Macaca mulatta: one gene and its partners. The protein of the gene in region 2 interacts with the protein of the main gene of each other region in a biochemical or structural test. Links are inferred from orthologs where the notes say so. Each region holds a gene or a part of one and is shown on either strand. Other genes may lie near its edges.

Region 1 (3,649 bases), on a different chromosome or scaffold from region 2:
TGCATAAGGAGAAAGGGAACTCTCCTCACCCCAGGGCAGGCCCAGCCTCCTACCTGTGAGGACGTGGCCCTGCTGATGGCAGTGGACACGGGTCCCCATGCTGGCCCCAGCTGGTGGAGCTGTGTGGACGCTGCAGTTGACTTGGGGTAGCAGGCAGCACCTGGCAATGGCGTAGACACCCTCACCCCCAAAAGCGTTGTGGGCCCGGCAGACCCGCTTGCCCCCTTGGGCCTGAGAGTCAAAGACAGAAATAGGAATCTGCTTTAGAATGGGCTTTGAAAACAGAGAAAGGGACTAGACAGGATCAACTCAAGCACCCTCGTCAGTGTCCCTACCAGGGGCCAGTCAGACCCTGCCCCTAGCCTTCTGGGGACAAGGAGCTCGCTCCTGCCCAAAGTAGACTGTTCTGCCAATGGGCAGCTCTGAATACTCAAAAGTTCTTCCAAACACAGAGTGGTTTCAAAATGGAGATACAGGGAAATCCAAGAGGCCAAAGCAAGGACCCAGCGGGCTCCACCCCACCCACTCTGCCTCCCACACAAGCATTAAGACACCATCTCCCAGGCCAGAAATGCCTGCCCCTCCTCACTCTCCTGACTGGGCACTGCCCTTCCACCAAAATGCTGCGACCAGATGGCATCTGTGCACTACCCTGTAGCATCAACATCAATTCCCCTTTTTTGCTGGTTTGAGATTTCTCAGCTCCCAGAACCATGGAGCACCTGAGTGAGAAGGGCCTAGAGATGGCTGAGTCCAGAGTAGCAGATCCCTGACCCTCACGCTGACACCCATCCAGCACCCATTGAAAATCCATCCAGCACTGTCCTGCAGCCTCTAGGAAATCCTTCTCACTGTGGCTCTCTCCAGCGGCCCCCAGCAGCGTGAGATGAGGAGTGCCCCACTCCTGCTCTGGCCAGCCCTGTAAGCTTACAGAAGAGCTGGAGTGTCGAGGATGGAGGGGCTTGCTGCGGGTCCCTCAGGGCCCAGCACTCACACACACACACACACACACACACACACACACACACACACACACACACACACGAAGGAGGGGTAGCCACCTCGATGCGCTCGCCCCGCCGCTTCCCACTCCTGGAGAAACTGGAGCAGCTCAGCAGCTCCTCATCCTGGGCGCAGCGGGCTACGGCTGTGGCCATCCGTGTAGGCCCCGAGTGTGCTGACCACACAGTCCTGCAAAACAGCTGCCAACCTGCAAAAAGTGCCTGGGATGAGGAGGGGGTGCTGGGAGTGAGGGGACCTCCACAAAAATCTTTAGTTCATGGTAGGAGAGAGGAGGGCTTAAAGAACATACTCAACTGTCTCTATAAAAACATGTTATGAAAATATTGCAAAGCCCTTTCAGAGCCCCCTTCTCATTTAATCCTATTTAAGGTGGTGTCATCCTCCTTACACAGACAAGGGAGAGGGGAGAGACTGTCAAGGTCACACAGACCTCCCAAGCCCCAGTCTGGCCTCGCCCACCCTGCCGTCCTGCTTACCTGCCCTGTGGGTGCTGGGGGGCAGGGCGGCCACCAGGTTGGGGGTCAGTACCCGCTGGTCCTCAGGGAACCAGGCCTCATTGATGACATCTTTGGCAGAGAAGTGGATCAGTCTCTGCCTCAACTCGGCCAGAGTGAGCTCCGGCTCGGCAGACAGCATCATGGCTGCAATGCCTGGTACAGGGGTGAATGGTGAAAGATGGTGACGGCCTGACCCTCCTGCCCCAGCAGGGGACTCCTGCCAGTGCACACACACACACACATACACACAAAAATACGTGCACACACCAGAGACACCAAGCTCTCTTCTAGAAGGTAAGCCGCCTGCAGTCCCTCACACAGTGAGGTAAGACAGCCTTCCGTCACACCTCTAAGCCTTGGTAGTTGCTGTCTTATCGGCCAGGTGGACTCCTATTCATCCATCAAGCTCCAGATCAAATGTCCCTTGTCCAAGAAGCCTTCTCTGACCCTCGGGCTGGGCAGGTGCCTCCTCTGGGCTCCCTCTAATACAGCCCTAACCTCGTGTTCCCACTGTGCACTCGTCTCCCTCATCAGACTGAGTGTCCATGAAGGCACCATCAGGCCTGTCTCATCTCTGGTCCCCCTGCACAGAGCCTGGCACTGGAGGTCCTGGCACAGACCCTGACCGCCAAAGGGCTGTTAGCATCACGGTGGCCAAGGCAGTGGGGTGGTGACTTACCAGCCACGTGGGCAGCAGCCTGCGATGTCCCACTCCGTGACACAAAGCAGGTGCTGCAGTCGCTGGAGGCACCAATGATGTCCTCCCCTGGGGCAAAGAGGTCCACACAGCGGCCAAAGTTGGTCCCCAAAGTCCCCAGGGTCACCGGCTGGTCCTGGGCATTGGTGGCCCCAACTGTGATGACCTGGAAAGGTGAGGAGGTAGGTGGCACAGAAAGGAGCCCAAGAGAGGGGTTGCAGAAGCAAACTGAGGCCTTGCCAGCTGGGCTGAACAACTGCTATACACCTGTTTGGGTCCCATTCAAATGTCCCCTCCTAAGGAAAATCTGACTCCCCAGGCAGAACTCTGGCACCCCTGCCCCGCCCTGGTGCTCCCCTCTGTCCCTACCATAGCCAGGCAGCATTCCCAAAGCCCCTGTGGAGTTTACATTCTAGTGAGGGAGATAGGAAACTACTCGGTGTATCAGGTGGCTCTAAGTGCCACGGGGGGAGACTGAGAGGGCAAGGCAGAGATGTGTTGGGCTTTGTTTGCTTGATGCCTTTAAATTGGGCTGCCAGGGAAGCCTCCGAGGCCAGGGAGGATCTGGGTTACCGCTGTCAGGTATGCTTCTGCTCCGCAATCCCCACCCACAACGCGCGCGCGCACACACACAGACTTGAAGTTCCAGACTTGAAGTGGAACAAGATTCTCTCCCCTAGATACCCGCAGTGACCTGACACTGGAGGAGTGGTGGTCACAGGAGGGACGGTCACTGCCCCCCAGCTCCTCAGGGCCGAGGCTCCGTGTCTGTGTCCCGGCAGCCACACTGCACGGCCCTGCGGCACACTCTCTGGATGTCCCTCGGGTGAGGTCTGAGCCCTCAACTGTTCCCATTCACATTAGCCTTGCTCAAGTGGTCAGTCATGCAGCTGCGGAGGGATCTGGATAGTGGGGAGGGCCTAAGACTATTGGGCGGGCCCTAAGAATATTGGGCGGGCCCTAAGACTATTGGGCAGAGGACGCAGGGCCTGGGGAGGGAGATGGGGAGGGAGATGGGGAGGGGGCGGCTACCAGGAGACCCTCAAGAGGGAGAGTGGCCAGGACGGGCTGTGGGGGCGTGGCTTCGTGGGCGCCGCTACGTGGGGGCGTGGCGGGGTCACTGCTGTTCAGACTCTGGGATGATGGAGGCTCGAGGCCATTCCTCCCCAGCCTCCCGCATGGCGGGGGGGCTCTGACGACTCCTTCCAAAGCCAGAAGGGTTCAGCCTCCAGGAACGTGCTGCAAGAAGCCCACGAGGCCCGCCTGCCCTTTGCTCCCCGTCTTGGGGCAGCAGCCTCAGCACCTACCTCGGGAGCCGAGGCTGGGGAGTAGAGGCAGGCATCATCCCGGAAGTTGCCGGCAGCGGTGACCAGCACGACCCCAGCCCTCGCCAGGCGCTGGCAGGCGGCGTTGAAGACCCGGCTGTACCCAC
Region 2 (3,649 bases):
AGAGGCAGAGGTGAGTGGATCATCTGAGGTCAGGAGTTCGACACCAGCCTGACCACCGTGGAGAAACCCTGTCTGTACTAAAAATACAAAAATTAGCCAGGCGTGGCGGTGCATGCCTGTAATCCCAGCTACTTGGGAGGCTGAGGCATGAGAATTGCTTGAACCCAATAGGAGAGGCAGCAGTGAGCCAAGATGGCACCACTGCACTCCAGCCTGGGTGACAGAGCAAATCTCAAAAAAGAGAAATAAAAGTCAACAAAGGGGACCATTTCCTCCCTCAGGGCCCTTGTCAGAAATCATATCACCTCTTCACGGGTCCGGGAAAGAGGAAACCAGGTATCAAAGGGGAACTGGGTATATGTCCAGCCCAGTGCTGATGTGTCCATCCAAGGAAAGAAAAGTATGGTTTTCCCGACTCACGAGTCCTCACAATGACTTAGAGGTACCCATTTGACAGATAAGCAGAGAGTCTCAGGAGGGGCAGTTGGAGGACACAGGACACAGAAACAAGGCGTGTGCCGCACCTGTGAGGCAGCTCCTCATGTCCTTGGCCAGCAGCATGCCGTCCGGGCAGGTGCAGGTAAACTTGGGCGACTGGGGGTTGATCTGTGGGGCAGGTAGGCACAGATACTGGCAGCCGCCATTGCTCAGCGTGGTCCTCTCACACCAGTTCACTCCTGGGGCAGAAGAAGTGGAGTCAGGGCAGGAACCAGATCATCAGATAGACTAGAAGATTCCAGAAACTTCCAGAACATTCCAGAGTTTCCACAAGGAGGTTTCAAGGGGGGGTGGTGGGGCTGACCCACCCTTACCTCTTGGCTGGGTGAGGTTGTGGAAGAGGACCATATCCTCTGGGGACAGTAGGTTTTCGGCCAACAAATTGATATCAGAACCTGTGAGGCGGTTGGCACTGAAAATGGCTTCGTTGATGATATCTGTCCAAAATACTTTGTCCTAAACAGGCAGCAAGGAAGATGACAAATCCCATTAAACACTGGGATGAGATACAGGCCACCCTCTCTCCACAACTTGTTTGCTTGTTTGTTTTTTGAGACAGAATTTTACTCTTGTTGCCTAGGCTGGAGTACAGTGGCCCAGTCTCGGCTCACTGCAACCTCCACCTCCCGGGTTCAAACGATTATCCTGCTTCAGCCTCCCGAGTAGCTGGGATTACAAGCACATGCCACCACACCTGGCTAATTTTTTGTATTTTTAGTAGAGACGGGATTTCACCATGTTGGCCAGGCTGGATTCAAACTCCTGACCTCAGGCTATCCACCTGCCTCGGTCTCCCAAAGTGCTGGGATTACAAGCGTGAGCCACCATGCCTCACCCACAGCTAGCCCTTTTTTTTTTTTTTTTTTTTTTTTTTGAGACTAAGTCTTGCTCTGTCACCCAGGCTAGAGTGCAGTGGCACAATTTCGGCTCACTGCAATCTTAGCCTCCCAGGTTCAAGCGGCTCTCCTGCCTCAGCCTCCCGAGTAGCTGGGACTACAGGCGTGTGCCACCACACCTGGCTACTTTTTGTATTTTTAGTAGAGATGGGGTTTCACCATGTTGGCCTGGCTGGTCTCGAACTCCTGACCTCATGATCCACCTCCCTCAACCTCCCAAAGAGGTGGGATTATAGGCATGAGCCACCATGCCTGGCCCACAACTAGTTTTTAATTGTGGTAAAAATATACATAACATAAAATGTACCATCTCAGCTATTTGTAAGTGCACAGTTCAATGGCCTTAAGCAGATTCACACTGTTGTGCAAGTATCACCATCACCACCACCCATTTCCAGAAATTTTTTTCTTTTCTTTTCTTTTCTTTTTTTTTTTTTTGAGACAGAGTCCCACTCTGTCGCCCAGGCTGAAGTGCAGTGGCATGATCTTGGCTCACTGCAGCTTCCAACTCCTGGGATCAAGCAATTCTCATGGCTCGGTCTCTGGAGAACCCGGGATTACAGGTGCCTGCCACCACACCTGGCTACTTTTTGTATTTTTTGTAGAGACAGGGTTTCGTCATGTTGGCCAGGCTGGTCTCGCACTCCGGGACTCAAGTGATCCTCCTGCCTCAGCCTCCCAAAGTTCTGGGATTATAGGCGTAGGTTGCCGTGCCCAGTTTAAACCTCTTTTCTTTATAAATTACCCGGCCTCAGCTATTCCTTTACTAAAATGCAAATGGACGAACAGACCTGAGGGGACTCCACTTTTGGCTCTGGGTAATCATGCTGCCAGGAACGTGGGGTTATAAAATAATGCCATTTCCTTAGAGCAGGTTTCCCCATCGTGGCGGTATCTAGGGCCTGCTACTTCTCTGTTCTGGGCGTTCAGCAACGTCACTGGCCTCTACCCACTACATGCCAACAGTCTTCCCCATCAACTTGTGACAACCAAAAAATCTCTAGAAATCGCCAAATGTGCCCTGAGAGCCAAGATCACATGTGACCGAGGATCACTGCCTTTCACTGCTCTCAGTAAAAAGAATACAAAGCACCAGGCGCGGTGGCTCACGCCTGTAATCCCAGCCAGCACTTTGGGAGGCAGAGGCAGGTGGATCACCTGAGGTCGGGAGTTCGAGACCAGCCTGGCCAACATGGAGAAACCCTGTCTCTACTAAAAATACAAAATTAGCCGGGCATGGTGGTCCATGCCTATAATCCCAACTATTGGGGAGCCTGAGACAGGAGAATTGCTTGAACCTGGGAGGTGGAGGTTGCGGTGAGCTGAGATCACACCATTGCATTCCAGCCTGGGCAACAAGAGCGAAACTCCGTCTCAAAAAAAAAAAAAAAGAAAATAGAAATAACTCAGGTCTAAGACATCCTCCTAGTCATGACCAGTTTTCCGCATTCGTCTTGGCTTGAGTGATCTACACAGTCTGTGTCTATCTGCCATCTAAGTTCTTGCATCTCGTACGTAAGCCGCACCTCAAAGATGGCCAAGGAGAAGGGGTGGGCCAGCCTCTCTTTGTCCTCCAAGACGGTCTTCCGGTTGCCCCCGTTGACGTCGATGCTTGAGATGGAGTGAAGTTTAGAGTCAACCCAGTAGAGGCGGCCACTGGGGAAATCTAGAACACACAAGTGGATAAGGAGAGGTCACGTGCCGATGCCAGTCCCAGAGGGGCCTGCGGGCCTGGCCACGCTGATCCGGGCAGGAAGAACCCCCCAGGGACCCGGCAGAGGTACCTGGAGAGGCAGCTCCAACCATGTGTGATCCTGAACCCCTCCCCTGTGACGCCCTCTCCAACAGGCAGGTAGGGGAGCTGCAGGTCAGAAAAACCTCAGGGAGGCTGGGTACGGCGGCCCACGCCTGTCATCTTAGCAGTTTGGAAGACGGAGGTGGCAGGGACCCTTGCACCCTGGAGTTTGAGACCAGCCAGGCCAACATAACAAGACTGTGTCTCTTCCCCAAAATAAAATACAATTAGTCTGTGTGGTGGCACGTGTCTGTAGTCTCAGCTACTCAGGAGGGTGAGGCAGGAGGATCACTTGAGTCTGAGAGGTGGAGGCTGCAGTGAGCTACGATTGCGCCCCTGCACTCCAGCCTGGGTGACAGACCAAGACCTCATCTCAAAAAAAAGAAAAAACAAAGAAAAGAAAGAGGGACATCTTCAGGGAGCAGCTTGGGCTTGTCCCAGAGCCACCTGGCAACCCCCG
Region 3 (3,649 bases), on a different chromosome or scaffold from region 2:
CTTGGCTTACCTATTAATTGGGCTAAAGTCATCTTTACAAATTGAGATTCCTTCAGGTCCAACCCCAATGAGCAGTTTCTGCCCTTCGCTATCCCTCACAGAATGCCATTCTATGCCATAGTTTTCCATTGCCGACACAATCTGCAAAACTTGGTATTCAGCTGAAGCCTGGCTGGTCCCCTCTAACTCCTTATGTTTTGCAACAATGCTGGAGGACACCAAGAGGACAGAGAATTAAGTATACAGATATTAACTTTAGAGATAAACCCATGTAGTCTTCACAAGTGAAATATACTAACACTGATGAATCACAACAGCTTAAAACTTATGTATTACTGATGTTTCATGTATTTAGCGAACTTACTGTAAAAAACCTCTAAGACACTGGGATCTCAACTATTAAATACTTGGTAAAAACACTTTGGGGATGCTGGATGGGTGATGAATTGAAGAATTATGGAAAGTCTCTAAAAATATACATAAGTCAAATTTACATATTGGAAAGTCTCATGCATTTGTCCACATATAGTTTATAAGTATAAAGCTGACCCCTGAGGCCCCTGTAGCCAGGGAAGAAGGCAGGCCAACAAACCACAGGAGTCAACTTGGCATGGAGGCCACCCTCTGTTGAGCCTTCAGATGAGACAGAGTTCCACCTGCAGCTTGACTACTGTCTCATGAGCCAGAGGACCCAGCCAAGACATGGCCAGATTTCTGACCTACAGAACTGTGAGACAATTTTTGTTGTTTTGAGCCACTAAGATTTGGGGTAACTTGTTATTCAGGAATAGATAACTAAAATGCCTATTAGATCTCCTGGTTTAATTCTTGCTGGGATGAAGAAAACACCAATATACATAATAGATTTTTTTATTTTAGGAGATTTGTACTTAAAGGCAGACATTTAAAAAATTCTCATTATATAGCATTTCATATTGTGTTTATATATTTTTCAAGTAAAAGGCTAACAAATTTTTAAAAAATACTTGGTTAAATTGGGCAATGGCCCAGTCTTAACCTCATGAATTATGTGTATGTACCACAGATTCATCTTCTTCTGGAAATGCTCATACATTTGATAGCTCTATGAATATAAGCAGTCGCCCTGATGGCAGCCTCACCTGTTCAAGGTGGCAGAGGAGAGCTCCTTGGCACACAGCTCCTCATAGTTATACTTGGCAGTGTTCTGGTTGTAGTCTCCAAACTTGGTCTGGGCCAGGAGGGCACTGAGTTCCACTGCCTGCTCTGGGGAACACAAAAGGTGGCCTGCCAAGAGGGCCTCCTTGATGTGCAAGAAAAAGATATGCCTGCAGAGCAAGGTGAGAGTGAGGTTACGCTTGGGGATAACCTGACATCAATCTCAGCCTACTTAGCAATTCCACAGTCACTTTTAAGGAGAGCAATTTAAAAAGTCACACTGAAAATGCTTAACATTAAAGAACTTTAAAAAAAAAACCATCAGTATTAAGACAAAATCAAAGTAAGAACTGAGTTTCTTTGGAATAAAAGTTGTGACTCAAAAACAAGATAAACTTATTTAATACAAGTTTGGTAACATTAAGGCTACAAAACAAAATAATTACACATACACATTTCTGCATTATAGTGTTTTAAAATAAATTATTTTAATCAGAAAAAATGTATCTTGACATAGATTCTCATAGAATCTTAAGGAACCCTATACATAAAGACAAAATTCTCACCTTTATTCAAATGATACCCCTATCTCTAGTCTCAGTGCCAGCTTCTCTCCTAAGAATCACAGGAAAAATGTCCAATCTCCTATAGGCTTCACCACCTGGATATTCTTCACTACCTCAATTTTGGCTCATTCAAAACCAAACTCCATATATTCTTTCCAAAGCCCTTTTCTCCCAATGGAGACCACAGACTGACTTTGGACTCTGTCCAATTTCACTTGACTTTCTTGTCTCTGAAAACTATTTAAATCCAGTTCTATGCTCCTGTTTGTACCTCCTCAATACTACTTGCAGGAAGAATTTACGCTATTCTCTGAGCTGCTCTCCTCCTCCAGACTCCATGCAGGCAGCCTACCTTCCATGCTGCTTGTTTCTAGTGTAAACTTGTCATTTCTCTGCTCAAAATCCTTCAAGGGATCTGTACGGCTTGCCAAGGGAGCACGTCATTAACGTGGAGCTGAGGAGTCTCCGCCATCTGGCCCCAGCTTTCCAGCCACGTCTCCTGTCATTCCCTGCAGCTGCTATGCCCCAGGAGAGGGAACAGTTCCTCTCTGGAAAATCCAGGAAGCATGTTCATGCCATGGTGTCTCTGGTCTTGCTGCTCCCTCTGTCCTGATGGCCATTCTTTCTGTCCCCTTGCTTGGATACCCATTGGTCTGTATCACATGCAAATCCTCTATTCCTCTACTACAGTATTTGACATAACATGTATATTATATATGACTTCTTAAGTGCCTCGAACATCAGAGCGCTCCAAAAATGTACATAAAACTGCATATTATGTGTGATTAGTTTACTTTCCAGCCTTAGTTTCATCCTGCTTGAGCCTCTCCTAGTTGTATACAATACTATACATTTACTAAAAGGTATGCCACACTTAAAAACTCCTGTAAAATTCAGATACTCGTCACACTGCCCAAAACTCTGAAGAGCATCTAAACTGCTGTAGACAGATTGGCCTCAGTTATAACATGTGTCCCTGGCCAATGTGAAGTTTTAACCTTCCTTTGATGACTTGTCATAACCTCTCAAACAAGGTTAATATTGCCACAATATTCCTCCCAGTAACAAATGAATTATAACTTTGGCCAGGTGCGATGTCCCTAACACTGCTTCTGTTTATAATATATCTGTGTCTGACATTCCAGGTAGAGGAACATGAACGAGTAAGAATCAGCTAAGAGGAGACAGTGAGGCTACAAATCTAAGGAAGTGCTACACTTAGAGTCTAAAATGTCTGGCTGACAAGAGCCATTAATCTTATTTTCACTAAGAAGTGTTTAAATTCAATGTTTTGTGCATTCTGTAATGATAAAGAAATATTTAAAATGATGACCAAATACTACAGTTTTTTTCTTTTTTCAAAGTCCCTGTAAAGAAATCATAGTAAGAATGTGTAATAGCCTGAAAGAAGATAAACATGCTTTTTATTAACCCAAACATCTGCTAATCTTTAAAGTATTTCTGACATACTGCTAAACTGAGAAGGGAGCCCCCATTGGGGCAAAGGAATCACCACAAAAATAACTTGCTGTAAAATAGCTCTCTGAGGACTGAGATCTAGCATTCTCAGCAAGCCATGGTTTACCACACTGTTGCAGGCCTCAAAAGGTTTCTTAGATGACCATTTGATAAACGTCATCTTGGTGAATGTACCCATCTCTGTATTCAACTGGGGTGGAGGCATGCTGTTAGGAAACTAAAATCTGTATCTATGCTTATGTTAAAGAAGAAATTATGCTCTGAAAGATTTGAAGAATATTGCCACAAACTAAGTCTTCTTAGTTTAATTACTGCTTATGTAAAAGTGGCGTCTTTTTTTTTTTTTTTTTTTTTTGAGATGGTGTCTTGCTCTGTCACCCAGGCTGGAGTGCAGTGGCATGATCTCGGCTCACTGCAACCTCCACTTCCCGGGTTCAAGCGATTCTCCTGCCTCAGCCTCCTGAGTA

Evidence for each region.
Region 1: the proteins of LDLR (region 2) and PCSK9 form a complex in vitro, tested with the Homo sapiens proteins (3 studies listed by IntAct, with this or other methods). The link is inferred for Macaca mulatta from reciprocal best matches to the Homo sapiens genes LDLR and PCSK9.
Region 3: of the proteins of LDLR (region 2) and MYLIP, one has a biochemical effect on the other in vitro, tested with the Homo sapiens proteins (4 studies listed by BioGRID, with this or other methods). The link is inferred for Macaca mulatta from reciprocal best matches to the Homo sapiens genes LDLR and MYLIP.

What each region holds. Positions count from the first base shown.
Region 1 is NC_133406.1:185,576,511-185,580,159, forward strand, and holds part of PCSK9 (proprotein convertase subtilisin/kexin type 9), read right to left. Parts: coding exon 3,525-3,649; intron 2,384-3,524; coding exon 2,200-2,383; coding exon of another isoform or gene 2,170-2,199; intron 1,710-2,169; coding exon of another isoform or gene 1,674-1,709; coding exon 1,500-1,673; intron 1,211-1,499; coding exon 1,062-1,210; intron 274-1,061; coding exon of another isoform or gene 232-273; coding exon 54-231; coding exon of another isoform or gene 21-53; intron 1-20.
Region 2 is NC_133424.1:11,851,849-11,855,497, reverse strand, and holds part of LDLR (low-density lipoprotein receptor), read right to left. Parts: intron 3,061-3,649; coding exon 2,921-3,060; intron 955-2,920; coding exon 813-954; intron 678-812; coding exon 525-677; coding exon of another isoform or gene 472-524; exon of another isoform or gene 1-471.
Region 3 is NC_133409.1:166,972,038-166,975,686, forward strand, and holds part of MYLIP (E3 ubiquitin-protein ligase MYLIP), read right to left. Parts: intron 1,308-3,649; coding exon 1,122-1,307; intron 209-1,121; coding exon 11-208; intron 1-10. UniProt on the Homo sapiens protein: E3 ubiquitin-protein ligase that mediates ubiquitination and subsequent proteasomal degradation of myosin regulatory light chain (MRLC), LDLR, VLDLR and LRP8. Activity depends on E2 enzymes of the UBE2D family.